5 linked regions of the Coturnix japonica genome follow. The protein of the gene in region 3 interacts with the protein of the main gene of each other region in a biochemical or structural test. Links are inferred from orthologs where the notes say so. Each region holds a gene or a part of one and is shown on either strand. Other genes may lie near its edges.

Region 1 (3,514 bases), on a different chromosome or scaffold from region 3:
AAACTGTAGTAATTGAACCACCCCTTTTGAGAGCTGTTATCTCAGTCTTTCATGTCCTATTTAAACTGTCCTCTGAAAACTTGTGTTAGCTCTGATGTGTAGTAGGCTGTAGTCCGCTGAGAAGATAATGAGTCCTATATTGTAAGTTCAATTGTAATGTAACTGTTTGCAAATAACTGATGTTTTTAATGCCAAAATATCTATTGTTAGGGTTTTCAGAGCTTTTTCAAGTCTCTATATTAATTTTCTTTGAAGCTACAGAAGATGCTATGAACAATGTTAACAGAAGTGCTGAAGCATCAGTTTACAAAATGTTTTGAAATGATCATTTTAAAAAAAAAAGATGTTTTCAGGGTGAAAACTGTAACAGTTTAAATTGTGATAATCACAGTCTACAGTTTGCTGTTGTCCTTAAAACTGCAAAAATAGCTGACATGTCATTCTTCTCCACTACTTCAAGAGCCATTCCAGCAGAAGAGGTAGTCTGCAAACATACAGAGTTGAAGAGCAGCCTGCACATCCAGTGGTATGTCATCATCCAACAACATTTGTTCAGAACATTTGTACACAGGAGGCTTGTGTAGCACAGAAGTTGGAGGATGTAGAACATCTTAATTTAGCTATGTATAATGGGCTCCTGGCAGCTCTCCTAATAAAGTTGCAGTTATGAGAGTCTAGGAGGACTGGAGTTCAGTTGTAAAGCTTCCATCTTCCCACTTGGTGTTTTTGGGTTAACATCACTTAATGCATGGATAGAGCTTGCAGAGGGAAATGATTCTCCCATGAAATACTGTTTCTGAAATCATTTACTTTTTAATAAGGGCTATACTGCTGTCCTTATGTTACATTTTCAAGGTGATGCTGCAGAATTATGAGTTCCTATCCAGAATTATGAGGCTAGATCAGCCATCTCTAAAGCGGACATCTAAATTAGTCCTTCTAATCCTTTTGGATGAGAGGCTTGAATTAAAAGTAAATAAATAAAATAATTCTGTCACTTGATGCTTCAGTAAGGATTTAAATACTACTTTTCTAATTTTCCAGTCCACGGAGAATCACGGCTTTTGTTAATTGTTATTGTCTTTAATTTGGCAGAGGAAAGCCTTTTCATAGTCAGTTTCATAGTTTTCCTAACTACTTTTTCTTCTGTTGTCATTAATATTTAGTTACTGCCTACTTCATCTGGATTACCGCCAGGCTGGGAAGAAAGACAAGATGAAAAAGGGAGGTCATATTACATAGATCACAATTCCAGAACTACTACTTGGATAAAACCAGTTGTACAGGTACTTTCTGCATTCTAATTACTGTTTTCATTCATATAACCTTTTAAACACTACACATAATAGGAGTTAAGTTTAGAGATCTCTTTGAACAAAAACATGTGAGAGGCATAACCTGATAACAAATCACAAAAATCTGAGGGAGTGCAACTGGAGTTAGTAACAGTAGTATTTATGGCAAGGCACTCTACGATTAATGTATCAGGAAAGCCTTCTGGAATGTGATGGCTGTTGGGGAAGCCTGAAGAACATTTTTCAACTTTGGTAGCTTAATCTGTGATTGTTAGTTATGTTGTTGATAAACAAAGCTGTCTACTGTTTGGCATTTGCTTTATGAAACTGCTTTCATGAGTTGAGAAATATTAGTACCTTAATATTAAGATAAAATACATTGTTCTACAGTTAATTTTTATTAGTGTTCTTCTTTTTTTCCTTGGTCTGTAGATTGCTATGGAAGCAGGTCAGTTGCCAACTGCACAAAATACTTCTATAGCAAGACAGCCACAAGCAACATCAGGTGATTCATCACAACAGTCTTCTAATCAGCAGCCTGAAATGGAGCAAGGATTTCTCCCTAAAGGCTGGGAAGTTCGACATGCACCTAATGGGAGACCATTCTTTATTGACCACAATACCAAAACTACAACATGGGTAATGATACCTGCTTTCATGGACTGAAGTTCTAGTTTGTCTCAAGTGAAAGCTTTCCTGCTTTTAGCAAACTTGCATAGATTTCTTTAGCGTCAAGATTTCTTCACTAGCATCTTTATTTAAAAACAAAACAAACAAGGAGAAACCTAACAACTCTCCTACCTCACATGCACAAACAAGAAGGAAAGAATGACTACAAATGTGAATGTGATTTATTGTCAGTAGAGAAGGTATTGTGACACATTTCTTATTCAAGCAAGATAGTCATGTCTGTTACGGAATATATGTGATTTAAAACAACAACAACAACAACAAAAACAAAAAAACCTGAATAATTTAAAATATCATTCCTGAGTAGAATCTCATGGATTTTATGTACTGTATTATCACTTGAAAGTTTAACTTAGGAGGAAAATACTGTGTTTGCGAATCAGTTTTGCAAGTGTAGAACTGTATGCAGTGTTAACAGAGGTCAGTTCTGTAATCCTGTCTTCCAAAAACAAATCCATTACCTTGAGTCTTTCACATCCTGCAGTGCACAATGCAAATTCCTGGAGCAGGTCAGGTGTAGCTGCAGTATGGATGCAAGTGTTCAGCTCTGGTTGTGCTGAGTGACACTGATTATCACCAGCCTGTCCTAGTAGATGGACTTAAGTGTTTAAAGAGTAGGTCATTGTTACTGCTAAATGAAAGGGAAATGTAGAGAATATATGAAAATGATACAAAAAATATATGTACTCACATCTATACACACGTATGTACATATATACGCACATACATAGAAAAGGGAGGGGATTTAAACCTGATTAGAAGATGATGATTGTAAAGTACTGAAATGATGATCCTCAAGGAACTCCCTAGCTGTAGAATATGCAACAGTTATCTTGTTGGTACTAGGCATGCTTTTTACATGGTCACTAACAAAGAGGAAAACAAAATTAAAGCAAAGCAAAACAAAACAAACCCTCAAAACAATTCTTACATGCTGATTGTTTTGTTTTCAAAGGAAGATCCAAGACTGAAAATTCCTGCTCATCTAAGGAGAAAGACTTCCCTAGATCCAGTAGATCTAGGACCGTTACCAGTAAGTAGATAATTTTTACTTGGTTTTCAAGGGATAACAATTTAATTTAAACTGCCACGATCTAAATTTGTACATGGAAAAAAAAAAGCAGTCTGTTGCTTTAAAAAACAAAACAATAAAAAGTTTTTTAAATAACAACAACAACAAACTAAATGTTGAATTCCAGAGTTAAGAGTAGATGGGAGGAGCAGGCAGCAATCCCTACGACTGCTGATCACCTCGTGTTTATGCGAACTGTGTGACTGTAAGTTTTCATTACGTATCTTCTTCTTACAGCCAGGGTGGGAAGAGAGAACACACACAGACGGAAGAATATTCTTCATAAACCACAGTATGTACAATGTAATGTTCTCTCACCACTCATCATGTCGTTACTGTTGTCTAAGTTAAGGGAAATAATTATGAAATACCTTGCAGATACCAAGAAAACACAATGGGAGGATCCTCGACTGCAGAATGTGGCAATAACCGGACCAGTAAGCTTTTCCTTACAGCT
Region 2 (4,127 bases), on a different chromosome or scaffold from region 3:
CACTACTACAGATCAGCTCTTGGACTCACATCAAACATTACCCTGTCATTTATCCAGTCAGTCAAAACAATGTTTTCCATCTAAACCTTTAATGTTTATGTCCTGAAAAACTGCTAATTGAATCCAGTTCTTGAATCCATTTATTTTTTATTTTTTTCAATCTATAGTATCTAATTTAGAGATAACAAATAGGAAAGATAAGTGTTACACAATGTTTACAGAATTAATCCTATAAATATTCAAGCCAGAACAGAAGACTGCTGGCATCATAAAGCCAAAGAAAATTAAGGTTATATAGCATTTGCAAGCATGAAAATAAACTTTTTAAAACACTGGAATATACAGATTCCTTTAATTCCAAACAGTTCTAGAATTTGAGAGCTCTCAAACTGCTTTTCCAATCAAAAAGGGTCATCAAAGCCACAAAGTACACTTAGATCTATTCCTATGCAAGGACTGACACCGTGTCAGCTCAATTAATAAAATCCAATGTTTGTAACAACTTTTCTTAAGCATATAAAGCTTCCCTACAACCAACGACCGCATAAAAAACAACAGGCAGTTTGCTAAAGCACAAAATACCTCAAGTCTTTCTAACTTGAGAAATAGGTCAATATTTCATGTAAGCTTCCAAATAACAGAACCGGTTCTCAGCGCCTGCACAGAGATGCTAAAAGTGGAGCAGTCTCTCTCTAAAGGCGACTTTGCTTTGAATCCATTGCTCTGCAGCCACCCCTCCTAAAAAACAGGTAATGAAAAACTCAGAATCGTTCCTCAAGAACGTACCTGCTTCTTTTGGGAACCACTCGGTACATACAACCACTGCCTATTGCTCACAGCTACACTCCCCTTGACATATTTATGTTGTCAAAGACAGGATTAGAAGACGTACTTAATCCTTAATCAAAATAAAACACAACAGAATACAAAACCCAAAGGTGAAGCAGACAGCCGCCTGAACAGTATTTTCCAGGCTTTTACTAAAGGCTCCAGACTATTCGCAATGTTTCGAAGATAAGCAAGTCTGAGCACTCACAGCAAAGGGAAAAAAAGCATTAAAGTTTTGCATCAATAAAGCAGTAACCTGAAGAAAAAGCTCCCAAGCACTGTACAAACAGGCAGCACTGCTCCATGCATCGGTCCCAGCCACATTTAGCTCACAGATTTCATTTCTCACTGTATTATATAGGCATTCACACATCTCAATGAAAATTACATTATAAATTTAGTCCAAGGTACTTCCACAGCAAAACATACATTGCATCTCCTCTATAAAAACAGCACGCTTGCAAAAAATAAATATGAAAACATCTGTATTTATATGACATCAAACTGGAAATATTTCAGATGTGCCTATAGTTAATGTTCCAATTCCTTCAGGTTTTTGTTAAAACATATTTGTTTTGCAAGCTGGTTAAACCCACTATCTGCAAATAAGAGTATTTGAAGCAATGTATCTCCTGCTTTCTAACGGCTTACCTTCAAGCACTCACACTTTGGAACCCAAGATAGGATTTATCAGCTGGGGGAGGGCCTTACATCACTTTGGAGCAGCTCTGTCCTATTAACTTCGCTGTATTATTTATTTTTTTTTAAAGAGAGCTCCAGTGTTCCTTCTCTCGATCAATGTACCTGGTTCTCTCATGTAAAGGATCATAACACTTCAAGTGCTTGGAAATAGCGTATTTTCCTTCCCTGCACGCAGGTGAGCAGCTTTTTAATGCTATTTTAAAGCATTCGAGGTCAAGTGGTCTTCTGAGAGAAAGCTGCCCACACAAGGCACCGTGTCAAACCGACTGTGTACAACCTTCACTAAGGAAGTCGGCTCGGGGAAAATATATATATATATAAAGAAACAAACAAAGAGATGAAAACAAAGCGTGTGTCACTTTCTTTCAAGTTCACGCTGAGAAGGCGAAGGAAAAAAAGCGAAACCCAGCGGTGGGGGCGGCGGGACGGGGCTGAGGTGCCCGGTACCACACGGCTCCCGCTGGCGTTTTGTTCCCGAGGCGGGCGGCCCACGGGGAGCTGCCCTCACTGAGGGAGCGGACGGGAGGAGAGGGAAGAGTTCGCTGTCTGTATTTTGCCCCTTCTCCTCACGAGGCCTGAGAGCCGCCTCCAAGCCCAGGTTCAACCTCAAATACACATGGAGGAGCTCCCGCTCGCTCGCTCCCTCCCACCCTCCAGCTGGGCTCGCCGGGGCTCCCCGCCGCTCCAGGAACTCGCTCCCCCGTGGCCGCGGGTTTCCCCTCCCCTCCCCGCCGCGCCCCGTCCCGCACAGCCCCGCTGCTGCTCGCCCCGTGCCCGAGCGTTATTCAGCGTTATTCAGCGTTATTCAGCGTTATTCAGCGTTATGCAGCGTTGTTATACAGCGTTATGCAGGCCCGGCCGCAGTTCCCCGCCGCCGCGCTCAGCCTCACCTGTCAGCCGCAGCTTGACGGGCCCGTTCCTCCGAGCCCCTTGGTTGGACATGTCCCCGGCCGCGGCTCGGGCCCGGCGCTGCTTTGCCCGGGGCTCCCCCTGCCTCTGGGTCCGGGAAGGGAGACGGGGGGGGAGGGGACGCGCTAATGGAGTCGGCTCGGGCGCTCAGGGCAGCGGCGGCCGCCGGAGGAGGAGGAGAAGCCCGGATGTGCCCAGCGTCGCCATGAGTGGGGCCGGGGCCGAGGAGGAGGCGGAGGAGGAGACGCGGCCGCCTTCCTTTCCCTTCCCTTCCCTTCGCTTCCCCGCCCCCTAACCCGCAGCCCGGGCGGCGAGCACAACAAAGCCGGGACGGAGCAGCGAACGGCCGCCTCCCCTCCCCTGGGCAGGCCGGGCTCGGCTCTGCTCTGCTCTGTGCTCGGCTCTGCTCTGTGCTCGGCTCTGCTCTGCTCTGTGCTCCGTTGGAGGCCGAGGCCGAGTGCCCACCCCGAGTCCCGCTCCGTCCCGGGGCTGGGGCCGATGTGAGCGGGATGCCCCATGGGGGCTGCATCAGGTGGCGGCGAGACTGGGGGGAGTCGGGAGGAATTACCGAGGTGTGGAAGGAGGGAAGCCAGAGAAACGGGTGGGGGGACAAAGGTACACGTGAGAAGAAACAGCATAGGAATACATTTAAAGCCGGGCTAAACTGAATAGGTCTGCCATGCGGGAGTGCTTGCAATCTGGGGCAATATTTTGGGTGGATGGGGCACAGCAGACTTGCCATGGGAGCAATGAACTCTGAGCTGATGTGCTGCTTGTCTGTGCTGCTTAAAATGAGCAGCGCGGTTGTGCTAATTGCCAAAAAAAAAATAAAAATAAAAAAAAAAGGCCTCACATTCCCATTGTGAGGCCTAATTTAGCTCCATCCTGCAGGAAAGGTGACTCCTTCCACAGTCTGTCCAGCTCCTGCACATCTCCCATGAGGGAGGGGAGCGCAGGGCTCACATCAATGCCAAGCGGGCTCTGAAGGCCGGGAAAAGCTCCCGGAAAAGCTGTAAAGTTGCCACAGTAAAGTTTACCTTATAAGACTGAGCTAATAAACCACACACCTATTCGTACTAATAACCTTACTAATGCTCTGTATGTTCACATGCATCTCACTCAGTCGTGTCATTGCACTGACTTCTTCCTGCTGAGCCAACCTGTTAAGTATTACTATAAGGGCGGTCATAGATTAAGATCCAACCTGAGTACCAAGATCCAAACACGGGATGAAAAGATGACCAATGCTTTGCAGAGTTTGTAATGTAGCTTCTGCATAGCCCAGTGTTCACTTTCTGAAGCTGCATACAGCACAGAACTGAACTAGCATGTCCAGAGTTGGCTCATCTTGGCTGAGTTTGGGGCTTGGACCTCATTAAATCACATCTAGGAGCAGGAATTGATTTTGTCCCATTGAAGGCCTCACAAGTAGGATATGGCTCTCAAAGTTTTCCCCTTTAAAATGAAGCCAGGCTGGATGTGGCTCTGGGCAGCCTGTTCTGGTGGTTGGTGACCCTGCACACAGCAAGGGGGTTGAAACTGGATGAGCATTGTGGTCCTTTTCAACCCAGGCCATTCTATGGTTCTATGAAAGGGTCCCCCCCTGTATGCACAGACTCACGTCTCCATTGTCCCATAGCGTGTCTCAAGCACCAGATCCTTCCAGGTGCAAATTTTCTGTGCAGTGG
Region 3 (4,171 bases):
ACAGTACTAAGGAAGGTTCAGGTTGGATATTAGGAACAATTTCTTTTCAGAAACAGTGGTGACACATTAACACAGGCTGCCCAGGAAGGTGGTGGAATCACCATGCTTGGAGAACCATGATGCTGTGGGACTGATGGACATAGTCAGTGGGCATGGGGGGAACGGGTTGGGGTTGGACTTGTGGAAGGGGTCTTTTCCAGTCTGAATGATTTTATGATAAAATGAGAAATGGTGGTAGAATAAAGATATTCTTCTCATTACCTGTTATCTTGTCAGTGATGCCACCACTGCACAGCTGAACGTCCTCTAGCTGCGCCTTAACCCACCACAGGATCCTGCAGAAGCAGCTCTGACATTGCTCTCACCTTGAAGCTACTCTTAAGAGAGGCAGTGACTCCTCTCCAACCACTGCTTACCTTCTTAATTCTCCTATTAACCGAGTCAACATATTCCTGCGATAAACATTCACACCCTGTACAGTATTCATTGTGAGTTACAGCACACTATTACAAAGTGTTTCCATCACAAGCAACACTCACAACTCAGGCACTACTTCTAGCTTCTTAGGAAAACCTTTTCCAAGCCCTGTAAACGCCAACAATATCTTCTCTGTTGCTATAGATTTCATACTGAAAGTGCTTAAGTCACCCAATAACCAGCAGCAAAACAAAACTCTCAAACAATAATAAAAGGAAATCCTCAAGGAGGAACTCACGTGGATAACAAGCAGCAGCACAGCTCCCCACCTTCCAAGCACTAAAGGGCCTCTCAAAGGTCTGAACAGAGATGGAAGAGCCAAGTACCAGCAGCTGGCTTAAAGAACTCAGATGGGAGCCTGACACAGATCAGCTGAGACACCCTTGATTAAAGCCGGCCATGCTTTATTGCTTCAGGACCTAATTTCTAGTTGCTGTCACCTGTGTTGAATTTGCTTCAGATCAATATTCAGTGGCCTGAACCTGATGGGCAAGAAGGCACTATGAGGATCTGAGCTGGAGGAAACCCTTAAATGTGCCTTAAGAAACATGTTTCCTTCATGCTGCGTTGGTGTGGTTATGTTAGAAGGGTGCCGACTTCGCACTGTGCATACAACTGTATTTCACTTTAAAAGTTTATCTTCTCAATTGAGAGGCTGCACACACCGTTACATCAATCACGTATTGCTGTAGCTCTCATCACCTCCAAGGCCGCCTCCGCACACAAAGAGCAGCACGGCCCGGCCCTCTGCCCTTAGCGGCTGCCGGGGCCCAGCGCGGGGCAGGAACTTCGGCCTCCGGCACAGCTCCGCCCCGAGCTCAGACGCCGGGTCCGTCCCGCACACCGACAGCTGCGGGGCGGAGCGAAGCGCCGCTCGCTGTGGGGCCGGAGGCGGCCGGCCTGGCCTCATTGCGCCGGGGCGGGCACAGCTCCCCGGCCGCCGAGCGCGGTGCCGCCGGGCCCTACGTGCGCGATCCCGGCGGGGCGGAGTGAGAGGAGGAGCCGGGGCGGCCTGTGCGACAAAGCCCAGTGCGCAGAAAGCTGGTGACCAGGAAGCGGAACGGCACCGGGCTGCCGCGGGGCGGGGGGCGGGCGGACCCCACCTGAGCCCCGCTGCCCCAGCGCTCCCGGGCGGGAGCCGAGCCCTGCGGCCCCACGGCTCGGGGCCAAGTGCGGCCGGCGCTGCGGGGCGGCCGTGCTGCCGCTAAGCCGCTTAGGGCCGGGCTGGCATGAGCCTCCCCGGCGGGGCGGCTGCGGGCTGCGCGCTGCGGGGCGGCTGAGGGTGCGGAGCCGTCCGTCGTAAGGAGGGGGAGAAAGCGGAGGGGACGCCCCTGCTCCCCGGGGGGAAGGAAAATGGGGAACTGCCTCAAGTCCCCCACATCAGATGACATCTCGCTGCTCCACGAGTCCCAGTCGGACCGGGCCAGCTACGGGGACGGGGCTGAGCCGGATCAGGAGCCGCCGCCGCCATATCAGGTACGGGAGGGGGCGGGGAGCGGCGCGGCGGAGCCGGTGGGGACGGGGACGGACGGAGAGGGGCACGGGACGGGGGGGCGGGTTGAAGCCCCGAGGACCCCCCGGGGCGCTGCACAGCGTCCGTCCCCGCGGGCACCGAACGGCGGGTCCCGGCCGTGAAGTGAGGAGCGCCGCTTTGTTCCCCGGGGGGTCGCCGAGCTGTCGCGGGGCCGCACGGACCGTTCGGGACACGAAGCCGGAGACGGCGGAGGGGGGTCGGGGCCCGCCCAGGGGTCGGAGCCGCCTCGATCGTGTCTGGATTTGGGCTGAAAGCAGGAGGGGAAGGCGTCGAGTTTCCAGCCGTGCCGCTTCCTTTGTTGTCGTCGCGCGGTGACATCACTGTCTGTGCCGCTCTCGGTGCTCCCCGCACCGGAGGCCGCGCGCTCGGCGCTGCCCGGCTTTGTCTGCGGCGCTTCGGCAGCAGCTGAACCGGAGTAACTTCGTGCTGCGGGGTGAGCCCGTTTCTTTCAGCTCCGTGCGGTTCCAGGAAGGGCCGTTCGCTCTCCTGCCTGGAGAGGATGTGTACATTGACGGCTGATGACGAGCTGGGGAAGAACGCCGGGTGCTCCGTCACGTCCTCACAGCTGTGGGGTCCCGGCACAGCTCTGTGCTGTGATGGCCACCAAAAGGACCCAGGGCTGCATTTATCCCCTGCTTCATCTCCATCTCCTAAGGAAGGATTGTACGTGGCTCTGAGCAGGACACGAGCCCTGTCTGAAGGGATCTGTAACAGTGACAGGTACAGATGAGTCCTGCGCTCCTTAGGGTGGGGAGTCACGCAGGAGTTGCAGACCTTAACGTATTATTAACAAGGCTGCAGGAAGTATTTAGCAGGGCAGATATTAACCTGTGATACTCGACGAACACCGGCTGTGACAGGAGGTCCCTGGGTTGCTCCATGGGCACAGCAACCCTTGGTGGAACCATGCTGGGACCACTGGGCCCTGCAGAGCTGCTCGCTTTATGTGACTGCTTCATGACAGAACAAATTCCCTAAGATGGGTTGGGTTTTTTTCCCTGACTTTTTAGTAAAGTCTGCACAAGTCCATTAAATAAAGATGTGTGGTGTCAGGTTTTTTTGACAGGCGATGTTCTGAGCCAATCCTGCTTGTCCCTCCTGTTTGGGAACGCAATGAAAATTGTCCCTTGGAAAAAAACCTGTCGGCTCTTGCAGGAGTTGAGAAATTGCACTGTGCAGGCCTTCTCCTGTCGACTTCAGAGCACAGCAGACAGTAAAATAAGCAAACTCGCAGACATTTGTTACTGTGTGCATTCATAGCAAAACTCCCCCAAACCCCACGCGCTGATCCCAGCAGATCTCAAACACTCACTGTAAGGGGCATCTTGTGTTGCATAGTCAACATTCAAAGATACTCGCTCCACAAATAAAGAAACACAGTGCTTTGTGATGACAAAAGACCTTCACCTTCATACTTTGCAGTATTCCACACGCTTTGAGGTTGAGGGGGGTTGTAACTTCAAATTGTTTTGGGGTGAAAAGGTGTGCAAGCCGAGCGCTGAACCTGGGGAACTCCTGGAGCTCCATTATTGCTGTAGTGGCAGCAGGATGTTGTGATCTTATCCTCTTCCTTGCCTGCCTTCCTCCGCAGGTCTGCATGTTCTCTTACACACTTTAATTCTCATTCAAACATTGTAGAAAGTATCACCTATAAGGACAAGAATCCCACATGCCCATTTCTAACACTGAATCTGAGCTATGATCTGGAATTTAAAATAAGGCCAAGAGTTTAAAAACTTGTTTGTGGCACCTACTGCTGCGCACGAGGAGCTGTGGACGATTAACAACTTAAAACTGAGCTGCTGGAGCCTCAGCCATAAAATGGCTGCATTTGGGTTTGCTTCCTTTGGGTTTGCAGCAACGATGTGCAAACTTCCTGAGCCGCTCTCTCAAGGTGTGCTAACAAGCAGAGCGAAGGAAGCTTGCTGGGGTAGGTGCAGCGTTGTAGACAGGACTTGTGTGTCTCTTTGAGCTAAAGTCTGTGCTATCTTGATACTCAAAACATTTTCTGTGTCTTGGCACGCTTGTTTTGTGGGTGTCCATATGGGAATCGAGTTAAGCAATAATTTTTTAAGGTGTTCACTTCTAACTGCAAAATAGGCACCTAATAATCTCTTCACTGTTGCATGCCAAACTCCTTTTCATCACTGAGTGCTACTG
Region 4 (3,514 bases), about 320 kb from region 3:
AGGACATTGTAAAGGAAAAGTATCTCACAGATCAAAGGACAGGACAGTGCCCCTGGTACACCTAGACTTCAATAGAATTGCTGCAGGTTGTTTTCATAACTGCAACTTGAACCACTACAACAAAGCAACTTATCACATCAACTAAATGGGGCACAGACCAAAACCAGCCTCAGCAGGGAACTCCTTGAACAGAGGGTGCCAAAATAAGTGACCCTGTGTACAGCTGCAATGCTGATACTAAGCCTGGATGTTCATAATAAGGGAAGAGCCAAGAGGCACAGCAGTCCTGCTGTCTGCTGCAACCCCAACCCTCTGACATGTGGAGCTCAGGATGGAGCTTCCTGCAGGTTTCCAGCTTAGCTCTGCACCAGGATTGAACTCAGGTGTAAAAAGAGCAACAGGATGTGCTTCAAATGATTTGCTTTTTAGCCATTTGTAATGTTGGTGGAGGCCCGTGATACCTTAAAACACTGCTTATACACCACAGAATGTGTTCTGTAACATTTAATTACAGAACCTGAGACTGACACGGTGTCTGTACATACAGAAAGGCCATCCCTTTAGACGCTGATTCCTTACGAGGCTGTACCCATCATAACAGCATTTTTCCCCCTTAAGTACTTAAACTGCCGTGTACGCTTTTCTTTTGGCTTAACCATCGAAGCACAGCATTTACTGCTGGTGTTCAGCAGTTTCTCTTCCAGCACAACTTAATGCACACAAAGCAACAAGAGCATGAACTGACCATAACACGCAGGGATCAGCATTGAGTGCTGGAGAGATTCCAGTAACTGGTTGTGAGCAACGGGAAAATAATCCGCAGCACTGACAACTCTTAATTGATGCCCCAAAGCTCTGGTGTCTCAAGCTCCACTTTCATTACGTTTAATTGCATCTTATCACTCAAAGTAGAGGTATAAGCTTATAATTCACACTTAGTCCAGTCACCTTATAAAATCAAATCCATTCAAATTTTTAACAAATTCAGTCACATAATGTCTTGCTTACCCCTTATTGAAGTTTTTATCATCTTCTACCCACTGAATGTGAACGTGTTCCTGAGGATCTTCAGCATCTACTTTGCCACAGGTGATGGTGAAGTCTTTCATCTCTCTCAAGGCCTGCCTCAGAGAGTCCATGTTCTCTGCAGTTATCTGGACCATTACTCCATCTGGGGAACCAAGAAATCCTCATAAGCCAAAATAAATCACAATGAGCAGACAGTATAGAACAGAAAAACATCCTTCCTCTTGTAAGCAACACTGAAACATGTTGGAAATCCATTCTGACACTACACAAGCCCATTCCTGAACCCTCTGATCCCTAAAAGATGGAACAAAAAGCACAACGGGTGGGGTTTTTTCCTAAGTAAGATGAAGCTGAACCAGCAGCTTCATTCAAATGCTCAGGGCTTAGCTGAGCAGTGCTAAGGGGGAAGCAGCACATATGAAGCAAGCAGTTCAGTTCTTACCTTCTACTATACTGGATTTGGCAAGGTAGCCTGACGAGGATTTTAAAGCTCCACTGAACACAAAGAAGCTGGCACCAGTCACTGCAACAACAACCAGAGTGATTTAGTGAGGCTTTCATCAAGACAATGCCTCACACAACAATCAGGTACAACAGCTCCATCACCCAAAGAGGCGATTAACAGAAATCAGAACAAGTGCTGCTCAGTGCTTTACATGCTTGGACATAGAAAGGCAAATCATCCAGCCACCTTCTGGACAGCTGTTTTATCAGCCTAAATGCCGGTATTTCATCGCTCTCCCCAGTAATGCCTTTAAGTTTCAAAACTGTTAATTTAGGGTAACCAATTACATCACCCTAAAAGTTCTCACACAGGCAGCAAAAGACTGTGATCTGCTTATAGCTCACACTAACACCAACCAGTGGAAAAACAGCCAGCTCATTTAGAATAAAATTCTCTTAAAGGACCACCAAGCATCACAGAATACTCGCTGGAAGTCCCTCTATTCATCCCATGTGTAAAACAAACCACACCCAGATAAAACCAGCAGTCCTGAAGTGATGTCCCATGTCAGTACACTCAATGCATATGGGGATACTTGGAAAACAAAAGCTGGCCTGTATCTTGCTTCTTCTCATTTGGTGATAGTGTAAATGTCTCTGCCAGGTAAAGCCTGGAAATGAGATGATCTGACAGAGGCGAACACATCTTTGAAGCTACGTTATTTAAACACTGCTGCTGTTGTTTATTTCTGTTCACATCTCCCCCCTCCTACTAAACCCATCTTCCTCCTTTTGCACAGCCTACAGGGCAAGCACAGGCAACAACACTCCCACCTCTAGTCTCCAACAAGGCCAAAGACTGCTGTCATTTTTCATATACAGAAGTTGTGTAAGGCAGTCACAGCACTTCTGGAAATGTGCATGTCCCAAGCTGCACTGTGCAAACAGTATTACCACATTTACAAGGGAGCAAGCTGTAATATGCTTCATTTTGTGTCTGCTTGGTCTATGAAGCTGCCAGAATGCCTCTCAGACTAATTCAGAACAGCACTACTGACCTAGGAAGTGTGATGAGGGCTGCACACAGGACACAAACAGCAGCGTGCCCCTGGATGCCTTACTGTGCTGGGGGGGGTAAAGGCAGAGAGCAGCGCAACACGCTACTCTGCGTGTCCAAACCTAACTCACAAAGCTGCCCACTCAGGAAGGCCAACAGTCAGATGATTTTCTCTGAACTAGAGCAGAAACAGTGAAATACAGACAAGCCCAATCCTGACAGATTCACCAAGCAACGTGTGGCATCACTGTAAGAACAACAGCAAAACAGAAGTTATACAGAGAACCGTGATCCAATGGCCTCACGAGCCCCAGTCTCACCCTTCCTCGACTGATTGTGGATGCTGATGGCCTGCGTCTGGTAATTCCCATCATCATTCTGAACGCACACCAGATGCGAGTCTGCTTTCTCATTGAAGCACGCTCCCCCTGCTAGAACATGCTCGTTGGATTTGTTCATGGCTTTCATCATCTGCAAACAAAAAGGTTTATGCCATTCTTACCCTGTTTGTCAAGCAATACCATGTAAGGGTTATTCTTGGAACGGTTCATTCAGACAGTGAAAATTAAGAGTGCTTGCAGTCTCATGTCAGACAGACTCCAGTACTCAGAACCATAACCTGCACTTGAAAAGACAGTTCAGCTCTCATTTAATCTAGATGCTTTAGTGTCACCTCTCAAGTAATTAGGATAACTGGTAGGAAGGACAGATGACCTACAAAGTGGCTGTTTTATAAAACATCCAAGGGAAAAAAATATTAGTAAAATATTGGGAGGAAATATCTGGTTAGTTGACGCTACTAGAGCCAATGATCCCCATTTTGTTTCTGACGATGAGATTTTTTATCTGAAACAAACACTGAGGAGTCACCTGTCCTGGAACTTGTTTCAAAACTAAAAATGATGTATTTGATTTAAAGAAAAAAAGAGGGGAAAGAGGGTCGAGTGATTAAATTACACCTCAGAGAGAAGGAAAATGCTGACA
Region 5 (3,514 bases), on a different chromosome or scaffold from region 3:
ATATTCAGGGAGTGTCATCAGTGGACTAAGAAAACAAAAAGTTTACGTGTAAAACTTCCTGCACACAAAACAGAGAAAATAAACTTAATGATGGCTGTTGAACTTCACATTTAAAAGGCAGTAGTTAAAAAACTCTTACAGAGCAGACTTGCCCGTGCGGGGATCTATATATGTAGTGGTTCTTCTATTGTGATCCACAAAATATGGAATGCCGTCCACAGTAAATCGCATTTCCCAGCCCTCAGGTAAGGGTTTCTCATTTAATTGACTGTGAGTACAAGAAAATACATGGTAACTTAATACAACTTAATACAATCAAGGCAACCGATCGATGACTTGAGACAGTAAAAATTCAAGTGGATCTAGAAGTGCAGACTGCGAAACTTTCCATTCAGCACTTATTCTGCCTTTTTCTCTCCAATTTTCAAGTCAGCTCTCAGACCACAGTGATTGTTTAAATGAATTTTTAGCTCCTTCAGTTGTGTAGAAATATAACAGCAAATAGAATCTGTCATTTATTACAGTTTTATTCTGAAACTGACACTGTCTTAGTAAGTAGCCTTAGTTACCTCACATATAATTTCAGCAGCTAAGTGTTTCAGAATGACAAAAATAAAAGAACATAAAGAAAATACAAACAGTGACCTTTTTTGACAACTCCCACCTCAACTTTGACATCAGTGTAAGTGTATCTTGAAATATGTGGAACACTTGAGTAGTAGCACTCCACCAAAGTGTTTACAGAGTCCTTCTACAGAGTTTACAGAAAGACACTGTAGGGCCACATTTCCAGCTATAAATTTGGGTGGTTACTAGAAATAACAGTGTTTTCCATTCAGTCAGCTGCTGCAGATGTGCCTGACATGCAAAGGTCGTCATCTCTGGCTACTGCTCTTAGCCCCTCCACTTCTCTTCCTCCTCTGTAAGGGACAGGCCAAACTGTTTCATTTGGTGGAAATTTTATCCGAGATTTTTTGAGTGAGATGAAAACATCCTTCACTTTTCACTTCCTACCTCTGAGAGACAAAGTAACTGGACCCCAAACTAAAGAGAAATACAAGAATCCATTACTTGTGGGGTAGTGCCTCTAGTTTTTTTTTTTCTTTTTTTTTTTTAGATTTAATTTTATTTAAAAATGATAAAGTGGAAGTGCTGCAGTTCCTGGAGTTTGTGTTTCCCATCTCTATCTCTTGCTATCATCTGTTTGGTAAATAATCAAATTTTGACTCAGAATCTTCTGCATCAAGAAGAAATCCTTCTCTCTCCCCTGCAGCAATACAAATACATATACAGTATATGAAAATGGTAGGAACTGTTCTGGGGAATTAATTCACTGCTGCTGAGCAAGATTTTCCTGCTAACTCTATTATTACTATCTATTACATTATATTATCCATATTACAATCTCAATTTCCGTGGTATCCTTTAATATTAACTGCCTGAGAACTGTGTATAGGACATGGGTTGATGGTTTTGAAGTGGGACAGGGCAGATTTGGGTTTGATACTGTGAGGAGGTTTTTCACTCAGATGGTAGTGATGCACTGGAACAGGTTGCCCAAGGAGGCTGTGGATGCCCCATCCCTGCAGGCATTCAAGGCCAGGCTGGATGTGGCTCTGGGCAGCCTGGTCTGGTAGCTGGTGACCCTGCACACAGCAGGGGGGTTGAAACCAGATGATCTTTAAGATCCCTTTCAACCCAGGCCATTCTATGATTCTGTGACAGCCTATGCTTGAGCTGTAAGCAGTATCATCCAGCCAATGCCTCATTCTCACTTCTTTATTACATTTTCATTTCGGATTTACAAGAAGCTGTAATTGATTTCTTACCCCTGACTCCTGGGATCTTCCCACTGCGTGATACGTGTGTTGTGATTGACAAAATACACTCTGCCATTGCTGTCAGTCCTCTTTTCTAAAATATACAAAAAGAAAACAAATTTCAATACCTTGGTTACCATATTGTTGAAATAATTAAATACAACAAATAAATCCAACTACCAGAGCCTGCCACAGCCTCACCTATGTTCAGGTTTCTCCGTAGCTCCTTTAACACAACACCTTTTCACTTTCATTGACATTACTCCTTCCTAGTCTATTCAAAACCAGGAGTTTATCTAAATAATAGCAACTGCTAATAATCATATGAAACTGCACCATCACCCATCCTCAGGGAAAAGCTGCACTTCAAGTGTTCATGCATAATTTCTTAGCATCTCAATTATTGCCCTGAAAAGATCAGCTGTCTACAACTGTGCAGCTTATAGCAGTGAGAGTCTGGACATCATAGCAACAATACAAACATTAGTGGGAAGGAAACAGTTAATCACAAGAGATTCACCTGCATTGCATACATTGGCCTACTGCTTGCACTTCTTAAGAAGCTTTTTCAGGTATTTTTCCAAGCTAAAAACGTAGAAGGATTAAAACACAGATAAGATGACTTTCCATGTTAAGATCCCTTACTATGTTATTTTTTTAGCAATAGGAAAAAATAACTGGAAGAAAGTAAAAACATGGGCTGTTTTCTCCACAGGAAATCCCAGCTGCTTTGACTTTTGCTATATGCCGCACAAACCATGTAGAAAACAAAGACAAAAGAGGTTGCAGAGGTACATATAAGAATCAAGAAAGTACAAAGGTGTGCAAACAGCAACATAACAACAGCAACATGAAATACTCATGTACTAAATAGACAGGAAATAAAAGTGATGTGGTTTCCAAGATTTTCACTCAGATAAATATATTTGCATGACTGAAAAACGTTTACGATAAATGCCAGGATTTGGTCTTCTGGACCAGTCTGCATTTCTTTACACCATTTTTTATTTAGGGAGTTACAAGACATGCAGAACTCAGAAGACAAATTACATAAAAAGGCCAGAGTTTGACTATTGCAGGTAATAAGCTCCAATTTACAAGGGAAGCCTGGAAGCAAACACTTGTCTATAGGAGCTACACTGGCAGCAGAACTAATTTCAACATGGAAATTCAGCTTCACGGCTTCCCCAGCAACATCAGCCTAAAAAACATGCTTTTACATATTGTGTATGTAGTGCAAGAAAACACAAGCGAGGGCACAAGTTTATGGCATGATGTTGTGTCTACCTGAGAACAAAAATCTAAATAGTTATGTTTGAAAAAAACAAACAAAAACCCAACTCGAACTCTGAGAGGCAGTCACCTGCTTTACAACCCTGAGAACGCTGCCTGTGTATCCTGACACCTGAATTCTCACATCTGCCTCACAGTCACAGCAGGAATCCAGCTTTACATTTTGGTACACACATGCACAAAGAATTGCATTAATTGTAAATTGTTAAACCTGTGAAGTACAAACCCAAACAAATGTATTCCAGGGAGATGGACAAGATGATTATTAGTTGTCATTACAAAAGCTTTTCAGAGCAATAAACATCCAGGGAAGAGAGAGAGGGGGTAAACCTTGCCTAATGAGTGTGGTGCAAAATAGGATGACAGTGTGAGAGAAGCGATTATGACCTGATAATTACTGA

The links.
Region 1: the proteins of RNF11 (region 3) and NEDD4 form a complex in vitro, tested with the Homo sapiens proteins (3 studies listed by BioGRID and IntAct, with this or other methods). The link is inferred for Coturnix japonica from reciprocal best matches to the Homo sapiens genes RNF11 and NEDD4.
Region 2: the proteins of RNF11 (region 3) and SMURF2 form a complex in vitro, tested with the Homo sapiens proteins (3 studies listed by BioGRID and IntAct, with this or other methods). The link is inferred for Coturnix japonica from reciprocal best matches to the Homo sapiens genes RNF11 and SMURF2.
Region 4: the proteins of RNF11 (region 3) and ZFYVE9 form a complex in vitro, tested with the Homo sapiens proteins (2 studies listed by BioGRID). The link is inferred for Coturnix japonica from reciprocal best matches to the Homo sapiens genes RNF11 and ZFYVE9.
Region 5: the proteins of RNF11 (region 3) and ITCH form a complex in vitro, tested with the Homo sapiens proteins (2 studies listed by BioGRID and IntAct). The link is inferred for Coturnix japonica from reciprocal best matches to the Homo sapiens genes RNF11 and ITCH.

What each region holds. Positions count from the first base shown.
Region 1 is NC_029525.1:6,743,653-6,747,166, forward strand, and holds part of NEDD4 (E3 ubiquitin-protein ligase NEDD4), read left to right. Parts: intron 1-460; coding exon 461-526; intron 527-1,166; coding exon 1,167-1,286; intron 1,287-1,727; coding exon 1,728-1,934; intron 1,935-2,940; coding exon 2,941-3,018; intron 3,019-3,294; coding exon 3,295-3,349; intron 3,350-3,435; coding exon 3,436-3,494; intron 3,495-3,514. UniProt on the Homo sapiens protein: E3 ubiquitin-protein ligase which accepts ubiquitin from an E2 ubiquitin-conjugating enzyme in the form of a thioester and then directly transfers the ubiquitin to targeted substrates. Specifically ubiquitinates 'Lys-63' in target proteins.
Region 2 is NC_029533.1:7,186,445-7,190,571, reverse strand, and holds the start of SMURF2 (E3 ubiquitin-protein ligase SMURF2), read right to left. Parts: upstream 2,802-4,127; 5' UTR 2,473-2,801; coding exon 2,421-2,472; intron 1-2,420. UniProt on the Homo sapiens protein: E3 ubiquitin-protein ligase which accepts ubiquitin from an E2 ubiquitin-conjugating enzyme in the form of a thioester and then directly transfers the ubiquitin to targeted substrates.
Region 3 is NC_029523.1:21,407,956-21,412,126, forward strand, and holds the start of RNF11 (RING finger protein 11), read left to right. Parts: upstream 1-1,364; 5' UTR 1,365-1,830; coding exon 1,831-1,953; intron 1,954-4,171. UniProt on the Homo sapiens protein: Essential component of a ubiquitin-editing protein complex, comprising also TNFAIP3, ITCH and TAX1BP1, that ensures the transient nature of inflammatory signaling pathways. Promotes the association of TNFAIP3 to RIPK1 after TNF stimulation.
Region 4 is NC_029523.1:21,729,034-21,732,547, reverse strand, and holds part of ZFYVE9 (zinc finger FYVE domain-containing protein 9), read right to left. Parts: intron 3,002-3,514; coding exon 2,851-3,001; intron 1,553-2,850; coding exon 1,472-1,552; intron 1,172-1,471; coding exon 1,009-1,171; intron 1-1,008. UniProt on the Homo sapiens protein: Early endosomal protein that functions to recruit SMAD2/SMAD3 to intracellular membranes and to the TGF-beta receptor.
Region 5 is NC_029535.1:1,340,812-1,344,325, forward strand, and holds part of ITCH (E3 ubiquitin-protein ligase Itchy homolog), read right to left. Parts: intron 1,915-3,514; coding exon 1,830-1,914; intron 269-1,829; coding exon 140-268; intron 1-139. UniProt on the Homo sapiens protein: Acts as an Acts as an E3 ubiquitin-protein ligase which accepts ubiquitin from an E2 ubiquitin-conjugating enzyme in the form of a thioester and then directly transfers the ubiquitin to targeted substrates.